Macaca fascicularis: one gene and its partner. The protein of the gene in region 2 purifies or fractionates together with the protein of the main gene of each other region. This does not show direct contact. Links are inferred from orthologs where the notes say so. Each region holds a gene or a part of one and is shown on either strand. Other genes may lie near its edges.

The links.
Region 1: the proteins of PGM1 (region 2) and GRHPR fractionate together in Homo sapiens (co-fractionation; 3 studies listed by BioGRID). This does not show direct contact. The link is inferred for Macaca fascicularis from reciprocal best matches to the Homo sapiens genes PGM1 and GRHPR.

What each region holds. Positions count from the first base shown.
Region 1 is NC_088389.1:61,901,708-61,905,522, forward strand, and holds part of GRHPR (glyoxylate reductase/hydroxypyruvate reductase), read right to left. Parts: exon of another isoform or gene 3,617-3,815; intron 3,316-3,616; coding exon 3,211-3,315; intron 2,540-3,210; coding exon 2,404-2,539; intron 1,326-2,403; exon of another isoform or gene 1,059-1,325; coding exon 928-1,058; intron 1-927. UniProt on the Homo sapiens protein: Enzyme with hydroxy-pyruvate reductase, glyoxylate reductase and D-glycerate dehydrogenase enzymatic activities. Reduces hydroxypyruvate to D-glycerate, glyoxylate to glycolate, oxidizes D-glycerate to hydroxypyruvate.
Region 2 is NC_088375.1:171,094,554-171,098,368, reverse strand, and holds part of PGM1 (phosphoglucomutase-1), read left to right. Parts: intron 1-979; coding exon 980-1,142; intron 1,143-1,496; coding exon 1,497-1,643; intron 1,644-3,191; coding exon 3,192-3,317; intron 3,318-3,708; exon of another isoform or gene 3,709-3,815. UniProt on the Homo sapiens protein: Catalyzes the reversible isomerization of alpha-D-glucose 1-phosphate to alpha-D-glucose 6-phosphate. The mechanism proceeds via the intermediate compound alpha-D-glucose 1,6-bisphosphate.

The DNA of each region.
Region 1 (3,815 bases), on a different chromosome or scaffold from region 2:
CCCCAGCCACTATGGGGAGCAAACTGGTACTGTGAGGTTAAGAAGTGCTGCTGCCACTCCCCCAAAGACAGGAAGGGAGGGCAGGAGGAAGCAGGCCCTCCCACACCCACACCGAGAGGGCCTCCAGTGCAGCTGGCACAGCAGAAATGGGGTGTGCAGAGGCCTGGCCCCAGCCCCACAAAGCAGAAGAGAGAAGGGGGCTTTGTTGTGAAACAACAGCTTGAAAAACTGGCCGAGTTATAAATATTGGCATTGTCATTACACTTTTAATTTTTCACACCTAAACTGGTAATAGCAATTTAGAGTAACAGGTTTTACACGAGTCACTGTGGTATAACACATGTAGACATGTAGTCAGCCCACTTTGTTGTTGTTTTTGAAATGGAGTCTCACTCTGTTGCCCAGGCTGGAGTGCAGTGGCACAATCTCGGCTCACTGCAACCTCCACCTCCCAGGTTCAAGCGATTCTTCTGCTTCAGCCTCCCAAACAGCTGGGACTACAGGCACACACTACCATACCCGGCTAATTTTTGTATTTTTAGTAGAGATGGGGTTTCACTATATTGGCCAGGCTGGTCTCGAACTCCTGACCTCATGATCCGCCCACTTCAGCCTCCCAAAGTGCTGGGATTACAGGTGTGAGCCACCACACCCGGCCCACTCTTTTTTTTTTTTTTCCCTAAAACAAATCCTCTCACACCTACACTCTGTTCCTTTAGGGACAGAGACCCAGCAGAACATGCTCAAGAGGACTGCTCCTGTCATACACCCATGTCACTAACAGTGTAAACATTTAAAGTCCCTGGTGTGTCCCTTTGGGTTCAGCACTTGCTCACACTAGCTCCACACCCGGCCCCTCAGGACCCCCTCGAAAACACTGGTCCTGCAGGGCAGCAGGAAGTTTGCGTCAGAAAATGCAGTTCTTACCACAGTTCTTCAGGGTCAGGAGAGGGTGGTTTGTAGGCAGTGGTTCTGGGGTCGTCACATCCAGTCCAGCAGCTGCGATCTGACCACTGGCCAAGGCCTGGTACAGGTCGTCCTGGTTTACAACGTCGCCCCTGGGAATGACAGTGGTGACGTGGGTACCATGAAGATCCCTCCACCCAGGCCACCTTTGAGGCAGAACCACCTACAGAATGAATTTTTCCACTCACCTGACACTTGGCACTGACTTTTAAAGCACTAAGTCTTAGGTATACTTACAGTATGTCTATCAGTCTCATATACTCAGAGAACTCCAGCCTGCCTCCTCCTAGCTGTGTGACCTTGGGCAAGTTTCTCAAATTCTCCGTGCCTCGAATTATCTGTGTCTCAAATTATCTGCTCTGTGACATAAGGAGAATACCACCTAACTCCCAGGCATGTTGGGAGGATTAAAGCTTTCTTACATGCTCTACTGCATGAACAGGGCCCAGAAGGGCATCTGTTAGGCCCCATCCAAGTGTTTCTGATCCGGTTGGCCCCCCAGACCCCCACTGAGAAGCACCACAGTGTGCTATCAGGCACCTGCCTAAACCAGAGCAGAGGAATGAGCACACCCCTAACCACATCCATCAAAGGCAGCGGCCACTGAAGTCAAGAACTGATCTTCTAGAGACTGTATATTGTGCACTAAGTAATACAGGGTCCTGGGCTGTCCTGGGTACACGCAGGCACCCGGTACATGGCAGCTATGACTGGTGCCAGCCAGCAGTGCGAGTCCTGTGGTCCTGCATGTTTCACTCTTCCATTCCCAGGTTACCTGTTTTGTGGCTAAACATTGGTAATTACAGGTACCTTTGGGGTGGATAAGTCCTCAGGGTGACCTCACCCAATCCCCCTTCCCCTAAACTTACGTAAACAGGCTCAAGGGGGACCAGCTAGGAAGGCCTTGGAGTGGCAGAGAAGGAAGGTCTGACCCCCATACATGCTCAATGGCCTGACGGCAGCCCTCAGGACAGTGTGAGGAACTACAACCACGTGAGTTTTAGGGTCTGTCTGCCCAGGGGGGTAAGATTCAAAATATCACTGAACCACAGCCAGCCAAAGCCAGGCTCAGCAGTGTGGGAGGCGGCCTCCAGAGGGCCCTTCAGATCCTGAAGTCCAGCCCTTTGTGGTTGAGGACAATGGGCCTGCCAAGGCTCCCTGGGAACACTCCCTGAAGCCACCTTGCTGTGTGCCAGGCCCTGCCAGGCAGGGGCCACTGCTGAGAAGCAGGCAGGCTAGGCCCACTCCGACGGCTCTTCTTCCCTGTGTGGAGCTCTCGTGTATTCCCACGAATTTCTGAGTGGGTTGGTTGGTTTATGGAAACCAGCAAGCTCAGCCTGGGGTCTTATCAACAACCCACGGGGAAGAAAATCTCCAGATGGCAGCAGTGGGGACGGCTCCTCTCCAGGCTTGCTGGGTAAGGTGGCCCTAGGATACCTGCTGATGTTGACGAACACAGCTGTTTCCTTCATCTTCTGGAAGAAGTCCTTGTTGCAGAGTCCCTTGGTTGCAGGCGTTAAGGAGCAGGCCACAACGATGAAATCAGACTGGGCAGCCAGCTCAGGGGTAGACACTGAGGGAGGGCAGGACTCCATCAGGCACTGAGTCTCAGGCTAGGGACAACCAGATGGTGGGAAACCAGCCCCTTGCTCCCGACTCCCATAACAGAGACTCCCAAGATGCTTCCTGAAGGCCGAGTCTCTACCTGGACAACTCTCATGAGTGTACAAAGTCAAATCACACACAGTGGGACCTGGACCACTCTGGCTTTAATCACCTTCAGGGCCCAAAGTGTCCAGGGGCGTGGGGAATGCTTGAGATCCAGCCTGCCTTCTGCTCACCAGGCTGTGGACCCGCCAGGGGCTGGATCCGCCTGGACTAAAGCGCACAGAGGCTAGGGCAGTGCTTGCCAGTTGATGAAGGAAAAGCGAGTGCAAGTGCCCAGCCCTTCCTCACACCCATCACCATCCCCGCTGCTCCGCCCACAACGGGGATGGCAACACAGGACGCTGAAAGACGGGAGCCCTGGACTGCTCTGCTGGCACGGAGAGGACCTGGGTAAGTCCCTGTGCCCCTTGAGTGGGCCTGTGTCCAGGGGCAGGGAGATTAAACATCTACCAGACACAGCAGCCCCTGGACATGACTGGAGCTCCTGCCCTCTGCCTGAAAATGCCACCATTGAGAGAAAATACTGCCTCTCAACTGGGCACAGATAGGCTCCTGTGGAAATCAAGCTTCACTTACCAAACTCTGCCTGGAATTCCGCTGCTTCCTCAGGCCTGGGCTGGCGCCCTGTGTATAGAAATCTCTGGACACCAAATGGTTTCAGACGCCGAGCAATGGCCTGGCCTAGAGCAAGGAGAGTCCGCGTCTCGTTCCCAGTCCCGCAGAGGGCAGGGGCGCCACCCAGCAGCTCCGGGACAGCGGCCCTCAGGGCAGACCCTTTCATCAGCACAGCCCCAGAGCTGCCTGCTCCTGTCTCCCCCAAAGTGGGTGGGGGGCTGGCTGCCCCGCCGTAACCAGCCCCCGGCCAGCCCGCACTGCCCCAGGGATCTGGAGACAGCACCTCAGCTCCCCTGAGGCTGTCACTGGCTGATGCTGTCCTCACATGGTCCAAGCCATCTGGAAAGCCACTCAGGTTTTTCCTAACCTCTGAGAACTGGAGAGAGTTTTCACAAAGGAGACGCCTGGTCAAGCAGTCCCCTCCTTCATCCTGGACCCTCTGCTTCTGTGAATGCCGTCTCAGACTCCATTTGACTTTTGGTGGCACTGCCAAACTGCCAGCTCACCCCAGACCGACACTTTTCATGTACGCTGCTGCTGAGGCAGATTTGTGCAGTTGGATTTTC
Region 2 (3,815 bases):
ATTCTCAACATTAGAAACACATCTTCCACCATCAAGTTGTTTCTTCAATCATATTTATCTTGGGTGAAGCAAAAAGAAATAACAAACGGAAAATGTAAAAAAATCCCTGTTTTTTAAGAGGAACTGACAACACCTCAACCTTCTTTTCCAACGTTAGTCATGTTGAAACAGATATAAATTACTGTCATTTTAGCAAAAAAGATTTAGGAGCGGTACTTCACCATCAGTAAGAGCTATGGAAAGGTAAGTTAAGAACGCAACAGAAGTCCCACCTGTCGCCCTTTCATGTAGGTCGTTCTGACTGGTTTACTCAGGAATAACTCCAGCATTCTTGTCTTAGGCCCAGGAGGTAACCCAGGTACACTGTAACAGGAGTATGTGTGTCTTGCTTTGAGGAAACCCACTATATGAAAAAGCCAAGCTTGACTGGAAAGATAAATTGATGAGTCATTTTTCAATAATCTTGCCATAAAATTTGCCTTTTTTACTTCAAAAAGATTTTTACTTTAAAAAAGCCTTGTCTTTGGGCAGAATCCCTTTAACTAGCTAAACCTTTTCTTTTCTCCCGTTGTGGATTGAAAGTATGATTGAATTGGATAAAAATTGGGGTTTTCTCATATTCTTTCAGTGTATCCACATTGCGAACCTGATCTGGAAAGGCTCTTTTTAATATGCTGTGTTTTCATGCCAGAGCCTTCTAGTGCACACAGACCACACACTCTTCTAAAACTACAAAGTCCCAAAAACCATCTGAAGGAATTTGTTCAACATTGCTGATTCTGCTTCAGTAATATGGTGGAGACATCCAAGCTGTAGATTTTTATTAAATAAAATCTTTTCTTGTCTAACAGATTATTATTATTATTATTATTATTATTATTATGATTTTGTCCATCTGCCTGTTATCTTGGTGTTGTTTCTGAGCAGTGACTCTGGATGTATTGATGTTAAAGAGTGTGTTCTGGATTTCTTCTCCTAGATTGGTCGCTTGGTTATTGGACAGAATGGAATCCTCTCCACCCCTGCTGTATCCTGCATCATTAGAAAAATCAAAGCCATTGGTGGGATCATTCTGACAGCCAGCCACAACCCAGGGGGCCCCAATGGAGATTTTGGAATCAAATTCAATATTTCTAATGGAGGTGAGTTTGCTGTCATTTTGAGGACAGGTAAGTTTATCTTCAGTAGGATAAACCAATAGCTGGAGCCTGGGGAGACCAGGGTTTTGGTTCTGATCCTTTGTAGGGGGCAGGGGGGTGCTCTTTGCTTCATTTCAGTGACAGTGAAATGCTTCTCATTTGACTGTACCTGAATATGAAGAGCCATGTACAACTCATCCCTAACATGATATTTTCTTTTAGAAAAATCCTGCCACCTTGCTGGCTGAATGATGAAATGGTAGATGTGCTAGTGAAGAGGAACTGATGAGCTTTGGATTCTTTGTATTTCCATGTGAGCTGCATGAAGTGACCCACTGTTTGCGGTTTGATTTCCAGGTCCTGCTCCAGAAGCAATAACTGATAAAATTTTCCAAATCAGCAAGACAATTGAAGAATATGCAATTTGCCCTGACCTGAAAGTAGACCTTGGTGTTCTCGGAAAGCAGCAGTTTGACTTGGAAAATAAGTTCAAACCCTTCACAGGCATGTTTACTTTCCTCCTCTTTCTGCCCACTCCTATTTCCACGTTGAGCGATTTTTCTTTCAACGTTTTAGTACAGGGTCTTCAGCTTTGGAAAGACTTCCTTGAGTGGTCTGTGAGCTTTGCAAGTGTTAGTTAATTAACGAGTCTGGAATTAGGTTTGGGAGTCCAGAGACCTGGGCTCCCTGGGCCCTGCCAGGGATCAGCTGCATGACATCGGGTAAGTCATTTCCAACACTCTAGGCATTAGTTTTCATGCCTTGACTAGAAGACCTGTAAGATTACATTCATAGTTAACTTTTCATTGACTTCTTGCTACATACCAGGGTCTTTACACACATTAATCCATTTTATTCTCACAGTAGATCTGTCAGGGCAGCACTGTCAGCATTCATTATTACAGATGAGGAAACAAAGGCTGAGAGAGGTTAAGTAACAGGCTCAAGGTCATGGTCAATGAATGGCAAAACCAGGACTTCAACTCAGGTTTGAATGATTCGCAACCCTACATTTTCCATTTTAGTTGTCCTCATTCAGTAAAATAAATCAGACCATTTTGGGGGGACCAAATTGCAACTCTCTACATAGGCAGCTGTGGCTAACATTTTGTTGTTGAATGCCAGGTATTATAATAATTGACAGAATAAACGTTTATAAAAGTATTCAGATTAATAAAATGAGGATGAGACGATTGGCAATGGACTTGCATTTTGACTTTGCCCTAACGTGTATTCTTTCTTCTGAATTGCAACTTTATGGAATGCATTTTATTAGTCAGTTAGTTCCTGGCCAAAGGATGGATTGCATTTTTTGTTTCAACCTACTCATGGAAAGCTGACAATTGCATACTAACAAAGATAAAGTGCCACTTTGATGCATCTCGAAGACATTCTTGAGGTTCAGAAGATACCACTAGAGAGTTTCTTAAAATCTTCATATTTTGAAAATGTTCAGAACCCCTGAATATCCAACAGTTTTGAAAATGTTCAGAAGCCCTGAATATTCAACAAGAACAACAATACTAAGTTCTTATATTTGCTTTATTCCTTAAGCAGTACATGTGAAAAGTGATTCATTAAAAAATTTCTTTTTCCACTTAGTACCATTAAGTCTTGATGACAATGGACTTGGAAAAAGAAAAGGAACTAAAAGTAGGCATTATATTTTCTGCTCTCTGTAACACCAAAACACACCTCTCAAAATGATGAATGGGGAAGCACTGTGGTGGCCTAGCAGAATTTATACAACCTCTGTTGAAAATCCCCTGTGTGCCTCATCCAAGCTGTGTGGGCAAGTTTCTTAACGCTTCACACATTGAGTTTCCTCACCTATCAAATAGGACTAATAACATTTACCTCTCAGGAAAATTGTTAGTGTTGGATAACTATTGGTAGTATTGGATAGTATTTAACAGTCATATTATTTGAGCTGTTCAATAATTGTCCCTTTAAAATAGCAATAGCAGGTTTACAGCCATATAATCACATCAGAATATAATCTTTCTAAATGTGGTTAGTCCTTCCATCTTTTAATGTTGCTTGTTCTCACAGTGGAAATTGTGGATTCGGTGGAAGCATATGCTACAATGCTGAGAAACATCTTTGATTTCAGTGCACTGAAAGAACTACTTTCTGGGCCAAACCGACTGAAGATCCGTATTGATGCTATGCATGGAGGTAAACAGTCATTTCTTTTCAATTCCCATCTCTCAAGGATAGGAAGTCGCTCTCTTCTGTGTGTATCATGATGCTTTCACAAGCCTTTTCTCAAGTCTCTCTGATGGTTTTTAAATAGAGTTATTTTGCAACCAGAGCAATATCCACACAGATCAAAATCTAATTGTATGTAGCAAAAATAGTAGAGACACTCCTCGTGGTAAGCTCGTGTGAAGGTCAGCGTTTCCACATTAAGCATCAGGTTCTGAGTAACATGCAACTGCTGTTGTGGACTCTCCCTCCCCCTCAGAAGATACCTTACATTCTTGCTGCACGCCCCCATGTATTTCTGAGAGGACGGTCATTTGGGAGATGTGGTAAACATACTCCTGAGCCCCACATCCCCACTCACCTGCCCCCACATGCTCCTTTTCTTAGAAGAGGGCAAGAGCAAGCTGAGGATTAAATTCAGGAACATCAGGATGTGTACAGCTCTGTCTTCTTCCTCTGGGGGTTGTG